3 linked regions of the Stegostoma tigrinum genome follow. The protein of the gene in region 3 binds, or shares a complex with, the protein of the main gene of each other region. Links are inferred from orthologs where the notes say so. Each region holds a gene or a part of one and is shown on either strand. Other genes may lie near its edges.

Region 1 (3,752 bases), on a different chromosome or scaffold from region 3:
AAGAATAAAGAACTGCTTTGAAATGCAGTCACTCTTAGTAGATGAATGGCACCGCCAATGTGCACTGCAAAATAAACAAATAAAGTTGGATCAACTAATCTCCTTGTTGATGGCAGTGGTCAAGGGAGAAAATGTGTGCAGGATCCCAGGGGAATTTTCTGGATTTACCTGGATGTGTCTGGACTTGGTTTGAGTTACAAAGAGAGGTGGGACAGATTGGGTTTTTATTTCCCTGGAGCGTTGCAGACTGAGGAATGACCTTATGGAGGTCAATAAAATGTGGTAGGGAATCTAAAACTAGAGGGCAAAAGGTGACACGGAGAGATATAAATGGGTCCAGAGGGCAAATTTTGTTTCACCCACAGTATGATGAGTGTATGGAACAGGCTGCTAGAGGTAGTGATGGAGTCGAGTACAGTTATGTCATTTAAGAAATATTTGAACATTACACGGATAGGATAGGTTTGAAGGGATATGGACCAAACACAGGCAAATGGAATTAGATTAATTGTGTAAACTGGGCAGCACGGACAAATTGGGCCAAAGGGCCTGTTTCCATGCTGTAAGCCTTCATGACTCTAAGTATTGCCATGGAATCTTTCTTCCTGAATCATCAGAGCAGGCAGACAGGGCCACAGTTTAACACTAAATCAGAAAAACTTCTGTTAAGAAAATTAAGAAAAGAGAGACAAGCAGATTTGCATTTATACAACAGGACTGTTTAAAAGTTATTGAACTCAAAATGTTAACTCCGCTTTTCTCTCTACAGATGCTGCTGAAATTCTCCAGCAATTTCTGTCTTTGCACCAAGGATAACCCCAATTCTTCTTCAAAACTGGGTTCTGGATTTGTTTATGTCCGCCTTAGAAAGTTGCCTTAGCCTTGGTTTAACATTTCATCCAAATAGTTACACCTCTGACAGTGCAGCTCTCCATCAGTACTGCAATGGAGAAACAATCTAGATTAAGTGGAACGTGAATCCACAAAGCTGCATCTCAAACATGAGTGTGGAAACAACAGAAATACAGTAAAAAGAAAATAAGTAACTTAATACAAACAAAAACTTCGTACTATAGAACAAATTTACAAGGAAACAGAATCAGTTAAATGATGAAAGGTTTCAATCCTATCAAAATTAAATTTTGACCAGATTTTTCTTCAAATGACCAAAACATTGATTTTAAGTAACAATGCTGATGCTGGTTATCATATTAAATCTCCGTTCACACACTTAGATTCGATATTATAATTAACATGAAAAACTGTTTTAGGCCAGGAGTTCGTAACTCGATCAGTGAAAATTACCTCAGTGTATAATTTCACCAAAAGGCTGAAGAATTTTTGAAAAGTCTGTTTGCTTGTTTCAGACACTGACTTTTTCCCCCCCATTTTTCAGAATTGTGAAGAAGTGTTAGAAGGATTACCAGGCTGATCAACAACCTGTTCAACCACACTGTGGATGTACTTCCTTCATATCACGAACATTCCTGTGACCAACAAGTCTTGGAGTGGCCTGAACCTGTAGCTTCTAGCTGAGAAGCAGGGGCACTATTCACTGAGTCCATCATTCCCATTCCTAATCATTAACATTACTTTATGAGAGAATTTAAAACAGTCATTTTATATTTAGTCATTGTTTGCCCAAACATGGATTGGTGGTGAGCAAATAGCATCAGAAGATCATGGAGCTTTTCCTAATGTGTCTGCTGTTATATTTGTATTACATACATTAATTTAGGTGGATGATATTGCCTTTTGGAGGCAAGGATTCACGGCCTTTGGGACCAAGACAGCAGTTGAAGTGTGGTGGTGTGAGAATGCCAGCATTTCCGGGAAATTTTCACAAATAAGTTTGAAGACATGTGTTGTGCATCAGCTAATTGCGAGTGAGTCAATGTTGTTGCCCTGGGGTCCTAGCTAAGCTAGATGAAAGCAGCTCAAAATTTAAGATAACGAAGTGTGAAGCTGGATGAACACAGCAGGCCAAGCAGCATCTCAGCAGCACAAAAGCTGACGTTTCGGGTCTGGGCCCGAAACGTCAGCTTTTGTGCTCTTGAGATGCTGCTGGGCCTGCTGTGTTCATCCAGCTTCACACTTTGTTATCTTGGATTCTCCAGCATCTGCAGTTCACATTACCTCTGCTCAAAATTTATTTCAGTTAGCATTGGGACAGACTGATCTAGTGTACATTTACACTTCAAATTTGTGCTAAACTCAGGTTTCACACTGTTTCATTCCAGAGTCAAGATTATGCCTAACATCTAGACTCACACTACCCCTTTCATCCAACACTAATTGGAATAATCCTTGCACATGCTAATCTGGAGTAGGTACATATAGAGAAACAGATCCACCATATTCATAAAATTAAAAATGCTATGTTATTACAGAGTACAAACCTAACAGATTAAATGCAAATTGTTAAAACTGTAAAGTTCCATATGTATAACAGGAAAACGCTGCACAAATGAGATGCATGTTAAACAATTTGTTGATTACCTTTATTTCTGGATCATCCAGTTGTGTCATCAGCAAATCATAATCCACAGTATCTCCCTAGGGGGAAAAAACTCTTTTGAATCAAATTTACAGAAAGGTGAGAAAATTTCTTACACATTTACCTGTTTAACTTATTTTACCTGTTTATATTTCTTTAAGATTTCTGTAACCGTTCCACCAAATCTGACAGCTTTCCTTGGTGGGGAACTGAAGAACTCACTTTCTCCCAACATTGTCAAATGGAAGCCTTCAGGAACATAGGAAGAATTATTTATACATTGTAAATGTATCCCTCTGTAATCTCTTTTAAATCAGTTATCGTACTGTCTTCAAAAGAATCCACCCTTGATCCTTCTGCCAAGTCTCCCTTAACAAAATCCATTCCAAAGTCCAGCACCTCCAGGTCTTCTCTTCTATCTTGATCCCACTCTTTCTGCTTCTATCAGGACCTGCCAATTCACAAATTCAATCCCCGCCTGTTGCTCCCACATCGTTAATACTATCCCTCTAAACTTAGCTTCCTGTCACGTGCCATTCTCTCTCAACATACATGTAATCACCCTCTGTGACGTAAGGTGTGAGATGTTATTATTATTTGAGTTTGGATCTTGAACTAATGGATTTTGGTCTGTGTGTTTACATGCCTTAGTGATTAACTTGTCAGCATTTCTGAAGTCATGCTTTTTTCAAAAAAAACTAGCATAAGAGACAGACATCCTGAAGTGTTCAGGCAAATTTGTTTGCATTGGGAAAGTGTGACCAGCGGTAGAGTACACACTGAAGAGCATCAGCATGCTTTCTGTTAGAAGAGTCAGGAGCTTTTTGTATTGGCTTAGGCAAAAACACCAACACTTGGAAGCTTTTGGTTTCTGTTCGCAGAAATCCTGAATGAAGGCAGATGTATGAAACGGTTTCTCTGGGAGAAAGGAATTAGTTCGGAAAAGTTAGGAAATAAGTTACCTTAGCGTAAGCGTTTCAGTTAGAAAAATAGGATCGGAGGTATTTGGCAGACCCTGAAACTAAGGAAATCTAAGCTCTGCGTGATTACTCAAGGAAGAAGCTATCAGATGATCAAGACCAGGAATTGAAAGCAATAATTAAGTCAAACCCATAGATGTGATTGAGACAGGAATTCTCTCTGGTGTTTGAGATGAAATAGTGTTCTTTTCTGTTTTGAAATCTTTAAAGTTGGATGTAAAATTTTATCTTTTATTTTGCATAGTAAACTTGTTTAATTTTTAAAATTTGATCAG
Region 2 (3,752 bases), on a different chromosome or scaffold from region 3:
GGGGCTTTCGGTACTGTTGTATGTGGCGCAGGCCTGGCCTATTCCCTGGACCTGCGCCGCTGCGGTCACCCGGGCCATCTTCCACTTCATTTGGGGGTCGAGGATGGACCGGGTCCGTAGGGACACCATGTACAAAGACCTGGAAAACGGGGGAAAGGACGTACCAAACGCCACCCTCGCCCTGATGGCTACCTTTGTCTGCGGCTGCATCAAGCTGTGCGCAGATCCTTAGTACGCAAACACCAAGTGTCACTACTTACTGAGGTTCTACCTGTCCCCGGTGTTGCGAAGGATGGGCCTGGCCTCGTTGCCGCGGAACGCTCCCAGTAGTTGGACCGTTCCGTACCACCTGTCCTTCGTGGAGAAATTTTTGAAAGGAAACACCTTTGACCACAAGGCCGTCAGGCAGTGGTCAGCACGTAGTATCCTCGAGACTCTTCGGGAAAAGGAGAGGATGGATCCCGTCGTGTGGTTCCCCACGCAGACTGCCAAAGTCATTTGGCAGAATGCCTCATCGCCAGAACTTTCAAACAAGCACAAGGACATTGCTTGGCTGGTGGTGAGAGGGGCTCTGCCAGTGAGATCCTTTATGCATGCCTGGAATCTCTGCGCCACTGCACGCTGCCCTCAAGATGGCTGCGGGGCGGACGAGACTGTTGATCACCTCCTTCTGGAGTGTGCCTATGCGCAGGAGGTCTGGAGGGGGATGCAGTGGTATTTGCCGAGGTTCGTCCCGAGCAGCTCCGTGACACGGGACTCCGTGCTCTACGGGCTGTTTCCCGGGACGCACACCGAGACCAACATCATCTGCACCTGGAGGACCATCAATACGGTGAAAGACGCTCTTTGGTCTGCCCTCAACTTGGTCTGCCAGCTGAAAGAACTGGCCCCGACCGAATGTTGCAGACTGGCGCACTCCAAGGTCCAAGACTACGTGCTGAAGGACGCACTAAAGCTTGAGGCAGCCGCCGCCGCCAATGCGCGGTGGGGAAAGACCACGGTGTGAAACCCCTCGTCCTGAATAGAAAAAGGAACCCTATCTGGTAACTGGGCCCAGCTGGCGCTTTCCCCAACTGGTCAGGGGGCCAACTGGGACTGTGCGGGGTGACGACTGCCGGGGTATTTTCTTTGCTTTGTTTTTTGTTTCTTCTTTGTTTGTTTTTTTCCTTTAGTTGGTGTACGTACCCCCTGGGTAACCCGGAGCGGCTTGCATGACTGGGTAGGTGTATAAGTGTTTTATTTTTTGTACATCTTATGAATAAAGTATATTTTTTCAAATAAAAAAAAGTGACGAAACGTCTGAAAATTAACCTTCCAGCTCAGTGAGCAAACTCACATCCAGAACCTCAACCTGAGCTATAAATCTTCTCAAAACTCGCTTTTACTTAAGTCCCCAGTTTATCTGTCTTGCAGACTCAGATTAACAGAAAACACACAGTCGGTTTCTCCACTTAACAAGAAATACTATATAATCACAAATGGATTGATTCCAGCAACAGATAAACAAATATGAACCACAGGCTAGCACTACTAGCTAAACTTTTAACCCCCTTCAAAAAGCACCAAAACAAATATGAAACAAAAAAGTATCATCAGTGGAATGAAGAAAACTTGTGGCAATCAGTTCAAAGCATCAGTCCCTAGGATTTGATGCATTGTTAACTTTGTTTCCAAAAGCCTTTAGTTCTCTGAATTTTTCCTTCAGGTTCTTCTACTTTGCAAGAGACACAGAGCGGCTTGTTCATAATTAAAAAATCTCTGACTTATTGCTGTAATGCAACAGCTTACAGCAACTGACAGGATAACGCAATCAACTTTATTTGGCTTCAAGTACTTTCACAGGAAAGAGAGAGAGAGGCCTTCTAGCCTACAGGCAACCAGTGCTCCACAAGACTCATTTTATCAGAGATGGCTGGCAATGATGCAATTAGGGGAGGTGAGATAAATATATGAAGTAGTACAGGGATGAATAAATTAGAAGTGAAGAAAGACTATAAGGTGATGGGAGTATAAACAAATGCAATTTCCTGTTTTTTTTGCATCTAATGACCTTTTAGTGATGGTATTAATACGCAAAAAAATTAAACCCCTTCTACAACTAACTACTTTCTAGACAACTTGAAATACTGAACTCTACGGCTGAATACCACCATCATTTCTTCGCTATTTCGGTTTTAGTTTTTTTTAAAACGAAAGCATAAAAATCACGAAGTTTTCAAAAGCTAAACAAATACTAAGTTTTTTTTCAAGAACTTCCAATGAAGGTCTCCACGCACCTTCTGATCACTTTTCCCCTCCTCTGATTAAGCAGTTATAACACCAAAAGATTTTCCTCAGTAGTGACCAAACGTTCAGCACAATCTCCTCCACATCATTTACCCCGTTGCCTGGGCACGCTCAGGATTCTGTTCCCCATCCGGGCAACGTTCCATTCCCAGGGTAACGTTCCAATCATAGGAAAAGGACAGTTTTACTTCCCACGTGCTGACAATCTAAAACTCCTTCCGGGGTCATGTTGAACATCTGCTGCATTTTCTCTGAAGGCAGCCATCCGCATTCGGGAGTATCGATTTTGTCCATTGAGTAACAGGGGGTAGTGACTTGGAAGTATTTATTCGTGATCTGGGATAAAGCTCAGTAAAAATATTTTCAGAATAACAACCGGTACATAGTCACCGCTTTAATGTATTTAACATTTACAGTTATCGTGATGTGTTCAAATTCCATTCAAACAAACATTTTACCATCAAACAAACATGACGATTATGCATAGTGGGTTTTTTTTTGGAATTTACTGCTTATCTAGTTGAACTTGTAGAAATAAACCAATGTTTATTTTCAAGAATAAAAGGCGATTCAAGATCAAACCAATAAGACTTGGCAGGTAAAGACGTGTTAAACCACTTGCACAGACAACGTGAAACAAAATACTGAACTCTACGACTGAATATAATCCAAAGCGTGCAACAACTCAGTCGGACTGGCAACATTTTAGAAGACGAAAGGTGCTTAACCTGATGAGTATTTCTGTGAGTTTTTACAGCACTTTGCAGATTTCCAGCATCCGCAATGTTCTGCTTTTAAGTGCGGTATGTCACGTAAGGCAAGAAATTCCGCAGTCTTCAGACTTACCACGTACCTCCATATCATTATCACCAGAACACATCTTTGTCTGCTTGCCTGTTCTGGCAGCTTCTCTTTCGTTGAGAACCTCAGTTATTGCAACTTTTTCACTGAAAATCTTCCTGTCTTCGTGCCTGCCTTAGCCCTCACACCATGTTTTCCACTGAAATGTGCTCACTGCTTTGTTGCCAGCGAGTGTTGTCAGTTATAGCCGCAAAGATTGGGATAAATTCAGAATCCAGCAAAGGAGGACTAAAAATATAATAAAGACAGTGAAAGTAAACCATGAGAGCAAACTAGCTAGCAATATTTTCAGTATGTGTGTTTCCAAACAAACTCTTGTTCAACCAAAGAAACAGGATTCAATTTTCCCTCTGCTGAAATTTTGGCAAAGATTAAGTTTGCTCAGGGAAAGAATGATGTCTACACTGTCAACTTGAATGACACAAAATATTCTACCAACTTCCATTGAAGACTGAGCTCCCCAAAATATTTAAAGCATGACTCCTTCTTGCAAGCCACAGTTCCACTTTCATCCTCTATGTCATTTCCAAAGTCCTTGAATTGCTTGTGAGCTCGTGTTTCTGAGACCATTTTTTGTGACTTGATGATCAATAATCTCTAGTAGC
Region 3 (3,752 bases):
TTCGTCCAGCTCCACACTTTGTTATCGTTAAAGAACTGGTGTAGGGGGCTTGGGCTTCAGATAAGTGGGTCATTGGGATGCCTTCCAGGTAAGGGGAGACCTGAACAGGCAGGACAAATTGGACCTAAACTGGAGGGGCAACAATATCTTGGCAGGGAGGTTTAAACTAGTGTGGTGGGGCTATGATCTGGAGTAGCAAGTCAGTAAATATACAGGCTGGGGAAGGGCTTGAGTCAAAAGCAAATATAACGCAGAGGAAGACATAACAAAGTGTGGAGCTGGATGAACACAGCAGGTCAAGCAGCATCTTAGCAACTCCACACTTTGCAGATGCTTGAGAATCCAAGATAACAGTTCGCATTATCTCTGATACAATAACTCAGAGTAAGAGCAGTCAGGGACAGGTTGCGGAGCTCAGCGGAACTGGAGGCTTGGAGTGCATTTGCTTCGATGCAAGTTGTATAACAGGCAAGGCAAATAAACTGGATTAATGTATACAATTACGATCTTGTTGCAATCACAGAGATATGGTTGAAAGAGGGATAGGATTGGAAGCTTAACTTTCCAGTATATCGATGCTTTAGTCGAGACAGAGGCGGAAGCAATAGAGGTGGGGAGTTGCATTACTGGTTAAAGGATGCATCAGCTGTGTTCGGTTCAAGTCTAGACAGCCTGTGGTGCTCTCGGAACAAGCACACACCCACGGAGCGGCTTCTGCCGGAGGGCGTTCCGTTGCCCTGGGTAACGCAGGGAGCTCCACTTCACTCGCCCTCACCAACATGGCGTCCGCGAGCACCCACAGCAAAGTCGCGCGCTGCTGGGCTCCGCGGCGGGTCGAACAATTCGCCCGTGAAGGGCCCGCCCCCTCATTGTTGCATCCGCCGGAAGTCGGTCCTCGCTTCGGGCAGCACGCGCAGTCGGGTTTCGGTACGGGTGCCGTACGGGCTCAGCGACGGCGGCATGGAGAGCGCATTCCCGTACTCCCTTTATCCCAGCTTCTACAACTCCGGTCCCTCCGCTTGGAACCCCTGGGAGCCAGGGGGCTGGGGAGAGTATGAACATGTCCAGCCGTTCTGTGCGGAGGGCGGGGGCCAACAGGTGAGGGTCGAACTGCGGGAGCGGGAAACGCCGCCTCCCCTCCTGGGGAGCAGCTTTGGGGAGAGATGGGGGCAGTAACGGCTCGTTGCACCACCTCACGCTGGAACAACAAAGCAATCAAACATACTTGTACTGGGTCTCCCTCATGCTGGGGACGCCTCGCCGTTAATACTGAAGACTGCTTGCTAGGTTAGAGCAGCTGGAGAATCTGAGATAACGAGGTGTAGAGCTGGATGAACACAGCAGGCCAAACAACATCCATAAGACCTAGGAGTGTAAGTGAGGCCATTCGGCCCAACAATTCCACTCCGCCATTTAAACCATGGCTGATGGGCATTTCAACTCCACTTCCCTGCACTCTTCCCCCGTAGCCCTTGATTCCTTTTGAGATCAAGAATTTGTCGATCTCTGCCTCGAAGGCATCCAACGTCCCGGCCTCCACTGCACTCTGCGGCAATGAATTCCACAAGCCCACCATTCTCTGGCTGAAGAAATGTCATCTCATTTCAGTTTTAAATTTACCCCCTCTAATTTTAAGGCTGTGCCCATGGGTCCTAGTCTCCCTGCCTAACGGAAACAACTTCTTAGCATCCACCCCTTCTAAACCATACATTATCTTGTAAGTTTCTATTAGATTTCCCCTCAACCTTCTAAACTCTAATGAGTACCATCCCAGGATCCTTAGTCGTTCATCATATGCTAAACCTACCATTCCAGGCATCATCCATGTGAATCTCTGCTGGACACGCTCCAGGGCTAGTATGTCCTTTCTGAGGTGTGGGGCCCAAAATTGGACACATTTAACGTGGTTACGTGTTTCGTACATCTAAGTCATTGCAGTGTGGAGCTGGAGGAATGTCGACTCTCCTGCTCCTTTGATGCTGCCTGGCCTGCTGTGTTCCTCCAGCTCCACACTATTATGTTATCTCAGCCGTGATCTTGTTGAGTGGTAGAACAGGCTTGAGTGCAGAAAGGTAAATCCTGACCCCTATTTTCATAGATGGTGGAAGATGAGTCAAATTTTCAAGCAGTGGAAAGTGAAAATTACAAGAGGGCACCCCAGTTATGAGAAGGAATAGCTGCAGGGAAGGTAATACTAATCTATCAGAGGTAACAATGTGTGGGGCTGGATGAACACAGCAGGCCAAGCAGTGCTCCTAAGATGCTGCTTGGCATGCTGTGTTCATCCAGTTCCACAATTTGTTACCTTGGATTCTCCAGCATCTGCAGTTCCCACTTTCTCTGATCACAAATCTATCAGATATTTGTTTTGAGTTGAAAAGCATTTCATAAAATTAGATTCTACACAGGAACTTCAGATGAAATGTAGAGATAATCAGGTGAAACTTTGCTGTCTCAATAATATTTCTGCTCAAGGGGGAAGTTTGAGTTAGTTCTTTTTCAATCTTTTTATATCCCAGGAATGAAGGGCTTGTCATATGAAGAGCCAGAAGCCACATGATACCAGGTTATAGCCCAACAGGTTTACTTAAAACCACAAGCTTTTGGAGTGTAGCCCCTTCATCCGATGGTTCTGGTGTTGTGTGACTTCTGACTTTGCCCACCCCAATCCAACACAGGCACATCCATATCATACGAAGGGTGGGTTAAGGACTCTGGGTCTGTACTCGACGGAGGTTAGAAAGATGGGAGGAGATCTCATTGAAACCTAGAGAATGCCTAGAGACCTGTGTAGAACAAGTTTTGACTAGGGAATGGTCACAGTTTTTTTCCTATTCATTTGTGGGATGTGGGCATTGCTGGCTGGCCAGCATTTATTGCCTGTCCCTGGTTGCTCTTGAGAAGGTGGTGGTGATGATCTGTTTTCTTGAACTGCTGCAGTCCACATGCAGTGGGTTGACCAACAACGTTATTGGGGGGGAGTTCCAGGATTTTTGACTCAGCCAACAGTGAGGGAGCAGCAATATATTTCCTAGTCAGGATGAGGAGGAGCTTGGTAGGGTGGTCTCTGCCGCTGTCTTTTCTGGTGCCTGGGTCAATACCAGATGCTTCATACATTTTCATTTCATTGAGACTTTGTAGTGATTGGTACAACTGAATGGCTTGCTTGCCATTGCAGAGGGCAACTGAGAGTCAACCACATTGCTGTGGGGCTGGAGTCACATGTAGGCCAGACCAGGTGAGGATGATGGATTTCTTTCCCCCAAAGGGTATTAGTGAACCAGAAGGGTTTTTCTGACAATTGACAATGATTTCATGGTGATCAATGGGATTTGAACCTAGGTCTCCAGAACATTAGCTGACTGTCTGGGTTAATGGCTTTGAAATTGCTTCAGGCACACCAAAAACTACATCACCAATATATATTATCAGGAAAAGCAGGGGCCTCAATACCGAGCCCTGGGGATCTCCACTACAAGTCTTTCTCCAGCCCAAAAAATATCATTTCACCATTATTCCAGGTTTCCTTTCACCCATTCAATTTTGCATCCACTTTGCTACACACCCCTTTATTCCATGTCCTGTAAGTCTCTTCACATCTGTGGTGTGGCTCTGTATCAAGCACCTTGTGAAAGTCTGTGTACGCCATATCAACGACATTACCTCTTTGAACATTGTGTTACCACTTCAAATTGTCCAGTAAGTTGGATAAACACTATTTCCCAAGAAATCTGTACTGACACTTCCCAATG

What was found.
Region 1: taf1c (region 3) and rrn3 share a complex: the UniProt entries of both Homo sapiens proteins name them as parts of the pol I pre-initiation complex. The link is inferred for Stegostoma tigrinum from reciprocal best matches to the Homo sapiens genes TAF1C and RRN3.
Region 2: taf1c (region 3) and taf1a share a complex: the UniProt entries of both Homo sapiens proteins name them as parts of the transcription factor SL1/TIF-IB complex. The link is inferred for Stegostoma tigrinum from reciprocal best matches to the Homo sapiens genes TAF1C and TAF1A.

Annotation. Positions count from the first base shown.
Region 1 is NC_081376.1:51,356,395-51,360,146, reverse strand, and holds the start of rrn3 (RNA polymerase I-specific transcription initiation factor RRN3), read right to left. Parts: upstream 2,742-3,752; 5' UTR 2,733-2,741; coding exon 2,640-2,732; intron 2,557-2,639; coding exon 2,500-2,556; intron 1-2,499. UniProt on the Homo sapiens protein: Required for efficient transcription initiation by RNA polymerase I (Pol I). Required for the formation of the competent pre-initiation complex (PIC).
Region 2 is NC_081362.1:52,741,169-52,744,920, reverse strand, and holds the start of taf1a (TATA box-binding protein-associated factor RNA polymerase I subunit A), read right to left. Parts: upstream 2,469-3,752; 5' UTR 2,277-2,468; intron 1-2,276. UniProt on the Homo sapiens protein: Component of the transcription factor SL1/TIF-IB complex, which is involved in the assembly of the PIC (pre-initiation complex) during RNA polymerase I-dependent transcription.
Region 3 is NC_081354.1:138,937,179-138,940,930, reverse strand, and holds the start of taf1c (TATA box-binding protein-associated factor, RNA polymerase I, subunit C), read left to right. Parts: upstream 1-827; 5' UTR 828-960; coding exon 961-1,098; intron 1,099-3,752. UniProt on the Homo sapiens protein: Component of the transcription factor SL1/TIF-IB complex, which is involved in the assembly of the PIC (pre-initiation complex) during RNA polymerase I-dependent transcription.